Rattus norvegicus: one gene and its partner. The protein of the gene in region 1 interacts with the protein of each later gene in a biochemical or structural test. Links are inferred from orthologs where the notes say so. Each region holds a gene or a part of one and is shown on either strand. Other genes may lie near its edges.

Evidence for each region. The genes of interacting proteins can lie anywhere in the genome.
Region 2: the proteins of Pafah1b1 (region 1) and Dcx form a complex in vitro, tested with the Homo sapiens proteins (2 studies listed by BioGRID). The link is inferred for Rattus norvegicus from reciprocal best matches to the Homo sapiens genes PAFAH1B1 and DCX.

What each region holds. Positions count from the first base shown.
Region 1 is NC_086028.1:60,048,552-60,052,198, forward strand, and holds part of Pafah1b1 (platelet-activating factor acetylhydrolase IB subunit alpha), read right to left. Parts: intron 1,015-3,647; coding exon 930-1,014; intron 696-929; coding exon 621-695; intron 1-620. UniProt on the Homo sapiens protein: Regulatory subunit (beta subunit) of the cytosolic type I platelet-activating factor (PAF) acetylhydrolase (PAF-AH (I)), an enzyme that catalyzes the hydrolyze of the acetyl group at the sn-2 position of PAF and its analogs and participates in PAF inactivation.
Region 2 is NC_086039.1:112,301,257-112,305,424, forward strand, and holds the start of Dcx (neuronal migration protein doublecortin), read right to left. Parts: upstream 2,906-4,168; 5' UTR 2,862-2,905; intron 2,851-2,861; exon of another isoform or gene 2,686-2,850; intron 2,566-2,685; exon of another isoform or gene 2,369-2,565; intron 1,108-2,368; 5' UTR 1,086-1,107; coding exon 722-1,085; intron 1-721. UniProt on the Homo sapiens protein: Microtubule-associated protein required for initial steps of neuronal dispersion and cortex lamination during cerebral cortex development. May act by competing with the putative neuronal protein kinase DCLK1 in binding to a target protein.

The DNA.
Region 1 (3,647 bases):
TTAGAACAATGTTATCTATTCTAACTTTGTCTGTGAAGAATATGTATTTTAGAAATGGGATAGTAAGTTACTTTCATCCTACAGGTTAAAAAAAAAAAACAACTCAGAGATGAGACTGACTCACGTAAGACAAATTTGGTGCTCTTTTTCCAGTTATAATTAGTTATGTCCTTCCAAGGCATTGGTTCTCAACCTCTCTAACGCTTCGACCATATACATCCTTGTATTCTGGTGACCCACAACCATAAAATTACTTTTGTTGTTACTTCCTAAGTGTAATTTTGCTACTGTTAATGAATTATAAATACCTGATACTATAGGTTAGCTGATATTCAACCTCAAAGGGGTGCAGTGCCACCCACAGGCTAAACAGCACTGTTCTAAGGACACAAATGATTCCTTCAGCACCAATTTCTCAGTCAAGACAATGCAAGGTTAAACCTCTAGACTGTTTAATGTGTATCAAAAATAACCTTAAAACCAAAGTTTTCATGAAGCAAAGAAATGTATTTTTTTTTAAGATCAACCATGAGTATCTGCAGATTAGTAATTATGGCAATATTTTCAGAAAATTTATAAGTAGACATTGAATACAACTGACTTAAGAAAGATCTAGTTACCTTTTTTTGTAATCTAATAACAGATGTCCATTTTTTTTCCAAAAGACCAGCATACTTCTTATCTAATTCTTCATTCTGGAAGAGAAAAAGATCTTTTAAAAAATGGCTTAACAATGATACCTTTAAGACAAAACATTATTAAATATTTGACTATACAGAAAGTGGGAAAATTAAGCTCAACACTAAGTAAATCACAACAAATGGCAAAATTTAAATAGCTGAATTGACCTACTGAACCTTAAGTAAAACTTAACTCATTAACTACACTATGAATAATTAGAAAAATGATAATTATACAGTCAAGCATACCATATCTAGTTCAGCTTCCTTTTTAAAAACGGAATATGCCTCTTCATAGCCATTTGAACGAAGATAATCTGCTATAGCTCGATTTCTGAAAGAAAAAAATTAAAATGAGTCCTAAAAAGACCTTCTATTTGAAGAACTACACTTAATAATTTTTTGGGGGGTGGGGTTGGGGCAGCCCAAGGACAAGTTTCTCTGTGAAACCCTGGCTACCCTGGAACTCACTATGTGAGCCAGGCTAACCTCAAACCTGCCTTTGCCTCCTGAGTACTGGGATTAAAGGTGTGTACCACCACTGCCCAGAGTACTAAATTATATAAATATTTCTGGAAATAAAATAGACATACTTCCAAAATTCAAAAACTTAGGTACTGTTACAATTTATCTGTATTGTTTTTTAGCATCTTTTCTTTTTTTGTTATTTTCAGAGATGCAAGGGACTGAACTCAGAACACTGTACATGCTAGGTAAGTGACCCGCCTCTGAGCTCTAGTCCTGGCCTTTGCCATTTTATCACTTTCTAACTTACTGCTCAGCTTGTAAACTGCAGGCACTCCACAGATATATTTCTATACCTAGACATCAATTGTTAAAGTAGCCATCAGTTTTTCTAGTGTTGACATTCACCTTCTCTTACTATTTGATAAACATACTCAAGCATTGGAGATTAGAATTGAGTTTTGCACAGAAATGTTTTAATGAAACTCTACTAAGAATACGAAGAGATGACTAAGTGGTTATAATTTCCTTGCTGTGCAAGCATGAGGATTGAAGTTTATGTCTCATGTAAAGGGCTGAGTGTCCTATGCCAAGTCTGTAGCACAAGGATATGTAGAAAGAGCCTGTCTGGGGCTTGCTGGCTTCTTGACTAGCTAAAATATTCTAGCTCCAAGTTGAGAAAGTAACCGTCCTATTAAAGAGGAACAGGTAAAGAGTGTTGTCTCCAGGCAGACACACATGCATACACCATAAAAGTATCTCTCAGGCACAATACCATCTCCCCCTAAAAAAAAAAAAAAAAAAAATTATAGTAAATATTTTAGTATTAGAAATAACTCTGGGGGGGTTGGAGAGATGGCTCAGTGGTTAAGAGCACGGACTGCTCTTCCCGAGGTCCTGAGTTCAATTCCCAGCAACCACATGGTGGCTCACAACCCTCTGTAATGAGAGCTGATGCCCTCTTCTGGTGTGTCTGAAGACAGCTACAGTGCACTTATATATAAGAAAGAAAGGAAGAAAGGAAGGATGGAGGGAGGGGAGAGGGGAGACAACTCTAAATGCCATGCAGTGGTGGTACATGCCTTTAATTCCAGCACTAGAGACCAAGACAGGAGGACCTGGAGTGTAAGGCCAGCCCATGCTACATAGTGAATTCAAAGCCAGTTTGGACTAGGCATCACTGAAAGACCTTATTTAAAAATGAAGCCAGGCAATGGAGGTACATGCTTATAGTCCCAGGACTCAGGAGGCAAAAACAGGCACATCTCTGAGTTTGAGGCCAGCCTGGTCTACAGAGTGAGTTCCAAAACAGCTAGGGCTAGAGTTAAACTCTGTCTTGAACCCCTGCCTCCCCGAAACAAACAAACAAACGAAAGAAATTAAACTATTTTAATACACTAAAAATGCACAAGCTACAAACAGTATATTGTCTTAGAATGACATTTAGAATTCTAATTAAAGGCAGCAAAGTTGAACTATATTTTCATGCTTCTTTTTCATTCTGTCCTGACAATATTGGCAAGCATCTGTGCTCTCCTATTTCAACATTTCCCAATTACTGTGAGCCTTTCGTCACAAAATTATAGAAAAGGTTGATTTAGGAGTCCTCTGTTTAAGCCTTTAAACTAACTTAAGTAGTTAAGAAGTTAAAAGTCATGGGGTTGGGGATTTAGCTCAGTGGTAGAGTAGAGCACTTGCCTAGCAAGCGCAAGGCCCTGGGTTCGGTCCCCAGCTCCGAAAAAAAGAAAAAAAAAAAAGAAGTTAAAGTCACGAATTAAACAAAACGTAAATATACATACAATAACAGTACATCCTTTAGCCAATTTTATTTTTTTGTGTGTACTGGCCAGCCTTGAATTTACAGAGATACCCCTGCCCCTGCCTCTGAGCATTGGGATGAAAGACATGAGCAACCATGCCTGGTCCTCTCTGCTTTTGTAAGACAGGATTTTGTGAATCCCAGGTTAGCCAGAAACTAAGGATGACCTTGAACTTTTGATCCTAAAGGCATGAGTCACCATACCTGGCAGATGTAAGGCACTAGAAATCAAATCCAAGGATTGTGCATGATATATCCCTAACCCTACTTAATAGGTCCATATTGCCAATTATATCTAATATTTTAACATAGGCAATCACTATTGTGATTTACATGTTTTCAGAGATAATCTACCTAAAACCTATAGTATTTTAGATTCTGAATTTTTTTCCTGAGGCAAGGTCAAACTACAAAGTCCTTGTTGGCCTGGAATAACTCGATATAAATTCTTCTTGTTCCATTTAATTTTGATTCTATTTCCATAAAAGACAACATGAAGTCAAATGAAGAATCATTATATAAAACGACTCCTTTTTTTCCTTTTAAAGTAGGAGCTCACTATGAAGCTTGGAGTAGCCCAATACTTAAGATCCTGTCTCAGGGGCTGGAGAGATGGCTCAGCGGTTAAGAGCACCCGACTGCTCTTCCAGAGGTCATGAGTTCAATTCCCAGCAACCACATGG
Region 2 (4,168 bases), on another chromosome or scaffold:
ATGTCTTTCAGCAGTCAACACATATAGTTCAGTAGCAGTTCCAAAGTCTAGAGATGATCTGAAAGGATTTAGGCAGAGTGACTCATTCTTACTTTAATAGAAATGGTGTTCATTAAAATACCAGACATACCTACAGCTTTCCTTCGTATCTGTCCCAATGATCTCAGCCCCATGGACACGCCCGTAAGTGAGCTTTTCCAAAGCAACAGCTGAGCAGCAACCACTTACCTAAAAGTCTAATCCTCTGCGAACATATCCAGGGATTCCTATATCGAGGCATGTATTTCTAATGACTGGCAATTCCCAAATAATTTCCCAGTGATTCATAGGAAATGTGGGCACAATTTTTATCTGTTAAACCAACCATACATTCTTCCTTCCCCTAATGGTTTCGTGGCCTGCTCTAATGGTGCTACCCAGGGTTACCTATGAACACTATCTAGAGTGAGTGTCACAATTCAGATTTCCCTTTGTATACCTAGGCAGATAAGCACATTTAGCATTAGCAGACCCACATACATTTCAACCACAGCAGAGATGGAACCCCACAAGGAATGACAGTTAAGGGTGTCTTTGGGATCAGAAGCCTGAGCCATCCGTCAACCTGATGTTTTGGCAAACAAATAGCCAGTTTCTTTCAAGGAAGACTAAAAGTATAACCAGAAGCAGGGATGTCCTTTCCCTCCAGGGGCTACCACCCACTACTCGCTACTTAAATTACCTTCTTCCAGTTCATCCATGCTTCCAATCTTTCTGGATCCATCAATAGTGTAAATGTAGCGCACTCCCTGAGGCAGGTTGATGTTGTCGGACAAGGATCGAGTCAGGTCAGCCAGCAATGCATCAAAACTACGAAAACGGTCAGAAGAAACAGCGTACACAATCCCCTTGAAGTAACGGTCCCCATTGCGGTAGAAACGTACCTTCTTGGCCTTCTTCTCATTACTTAATGCCTGCAAGGTTCTGGTTCTGTAGAAGCTACAGTGAGCACTATGAGTGGGACTTGGAAGTCCATTCATCCGTGACCCTCTCATATTTCTAGATGCTTTGTCTCGTTCGTCAAAATGTCCAAAATCAAGTTCCATATTTTGGTGGAACCACAGCAACCTGATTGTTAGGAAAAGGGGCGGGGATAAGGAGAGGCAAAGAATAAGGAAGGGTAAGGGGAGAAAAGAATTAAAATATTAGCCAGATCCAGAGCTGCAATCTGCTGCCTGTGAAAAGAACTGGTTGAAAAAAGCCTGAGACCCATCTGCTGCTTGTCCCTGACCTGCAGGAATATTGATCTTAATAGAGTAGAAGGAGGGGGCTGGGCAGTGGACTGAGGACTGAATGGTGGGAAGGGGGATAGGAGAAAGAGATAGAAAGGGTGGCACTTCTGGCACTGTTCCAAATTTGGGAGGGGGTGTTGAAACAGCTTAAAAACCTGGAGCTTCCTGACAGTGGCTCCTATCAAATTGTAACTTCGGGCAAAATACATTAAAACTGGCATCTGCTACTTCACACATGGCCACATGACTAACAGTTGTAAATGAATCCATAGCCTGACAAAATCCCCTCAAAGAGAAATAGAGGGAACTAGCCAAGGTTAGCATCTCCAGCATAGGAAGCAGTCTTTACAACCCAGGACAATGACTAGTATGGGGGTGTATTAGTTTTATTTCCAGTCCCTTTTTTCCTGCTCTAATATGTGTATCCCCTCCCCCAGAATAAACTAGGATTCTCTTTTAAAGGGACAGCCTCCAGGGAATACCCAGTGTCTTTGTGCTATTCATCAAACCCTCTCTCCATCAAGCTGGTGCTGCTATACCGCATCCATAAGAAGTAGGCTGGGGTCTAAAAGGGGGGAGGGATTGTCAAAAAACCAGTTATTTAGCAAGCTGTTAGCTCTGCTTTCCTCTTGATTCCATTTGATCACAGAATCCTTTTTCTCCTTTCAGGTGCTTCATCCCCTCCCCGACCAATGCAGCGATATCTCTTAATGAAATAATTGGCGAAAGATTCCCAAATGAGTCCCTGAATAGCATATGGGACCTTTACAAGCGAGGACACCTTTCATTGTTCTGGGTTTCCTCCCCTGACTGACAGAACATTTTGTCCTCAAAGCAGGCAATTCACTTCAAACTTGTCTATTGCTTAGGTGAATTAATGGGGGCAAAAGAAAAAGGTCATCTGTAAAGCTTGGATTTCCACCCCCTCTACCCCCCCCCCGAGCCCATCCCCACCAGGAAATAAAAAAGAACGCAACAATGAAAACATGCAACCAAATAATATAACCAAAGCCTCGACCGCTTACAAAGGTAATAACTTGACATCCAAGAAACCAAACTATTAGCATTCATCTCACAGATGGAGGAAAAAGACTCACAAAGCAAGAGGACTCAGCTGCAATACACTGCCACATCAAGATTTGCAAGGAACCGGGGAGACAGGAGATAAAAGGGGGCTGGTAGCTGGTCTATTTGCCAGGTTCGGTCCCCCCTTTTTCTCCAGTGTCACCATGACCTATGCTGAGCTCAGCATTGTCTCTGTCAGACAACCTGCAGTAGTAAGACCCCACCTCCTCAAGATGAGTAGCAAGCATTTTCCCCAGGCAGGCTGTGCAAATAAAGATACGCTTTAGAATCCGAAGTGCTATTATTCTAAATTAGCATCATAGTGAAAACAAAGAAACAACAAACTCACTTTTCCAAAGGAAAATCCCAGGTAGAATCTTAGAGGACAAAAAAATCCTACAGAATAAGGCAAATAAAAGAGAAGAAAGAGGCGGACACACAGAGAAAGAAAGGCGTGTGCCTTGTGCTTCTCCCGTTTGACATCTGTTACATTCTGCTTGAAAATCACTCGAAAGCCCCACTCACCGGTTTTCTGCTGGTTGGGTGGAGATGCTGTGAGAAAGAAAACCAATCTCTCTATGCCTTTGTTGTCTGAGCTCCAAGCAAGAAATTCCTGCCAGGGTGGATAGTTGCCTTCTAGGTCCTAGTGCCTTGTCCAGCTTCTCCCCTGTAACTGAAGCTTAGCGAACACCCCCAACCTCCTATGATTAATTACATGCTTTTTTTTCTTCAATTCACAGCCTGCATTAACAGCTAGAAAGGTTTCGTTTATAACCCACAGGAAATTGCAGGGTAGGAAAAAAAAAGGATTGCACAGGCAAGCTCAGAATGCTCTAATGAGCAATGTGCTAGCCCTTTCTCTTAGAAAATTGGCAATTTTACTTGGCTAAAAATCCTTGGCCTAATCTGCCTAGTGGCTGGACTCAGCAGGCCAAATCAAGTTTCTTAGAAATTACAGCACTCTTCATTTTACCTTCTTTGAAGAAAATAAAAATTTGTAAATTTTCTGACATTTGAGCTTGCGCATCCGACACTGTTTTTTGTTATTGTTGTTGTTGTTTTTGGTTTTGTTTTGTTTAATGAAGTCAGCGGGTATGGCAAATTAATAATACAAGGGGAAATAGTTGCAGAAATCATGAAGGCTAGAATTGAAAAGTGGCACTCCTCCAAGTTTTTGTTCAGTTGTTTTATCGAGCCAGGGTCCAGCTTTATAGTCATAGCTGTTCTGGAACTCACTGTGTAGCCCAGGCTGACCTCTAACTTGTGGAAAAATTTCAGCCTCTGTTCTGCTTCCTTGCTACTAGAATTTGCCAGCACTTAGGTCCCCAAGCCCAACATGTCTACAAAACATTTTAGACTGATGTAAAACATCGGTTAATGTTTCACCTTCCTACTCCTGGGCATATACCCAAGGGAGACTATACCCTACCATAGAGACACTTGCATATCCATGTTTATTACTGCTCTATTCATAAAAGCCAGAAAATAGAAACAGCCCAGATGTCTGCTAACAGATGAATAGGTAATGAAAATGCAAGATATATGCACAATTTTAATCATCCATTGGTAAAAAGTAAAATTATGAAGAAATTGTGGGGAACTGAAAATGTTATACTGAGTGAGGTATTCTAGGCTAAGAGAGACAAAAGGATTTATTTTCTCTCATATGTAACTCTCTCTTTCTGTGTGTGTGTGTGCACGTGTGTGTGTGTGTGTGTGTGTGTGTGTGTGTGTGTGTGTGGAGAGAGAGAGAGAGAGAGAGAGAGAGAGAGAGAGAGAGAGAGATCAAAAAACATGAAAGCAGCCCATAAGAAGAGAAGTGGGTTTTAAAG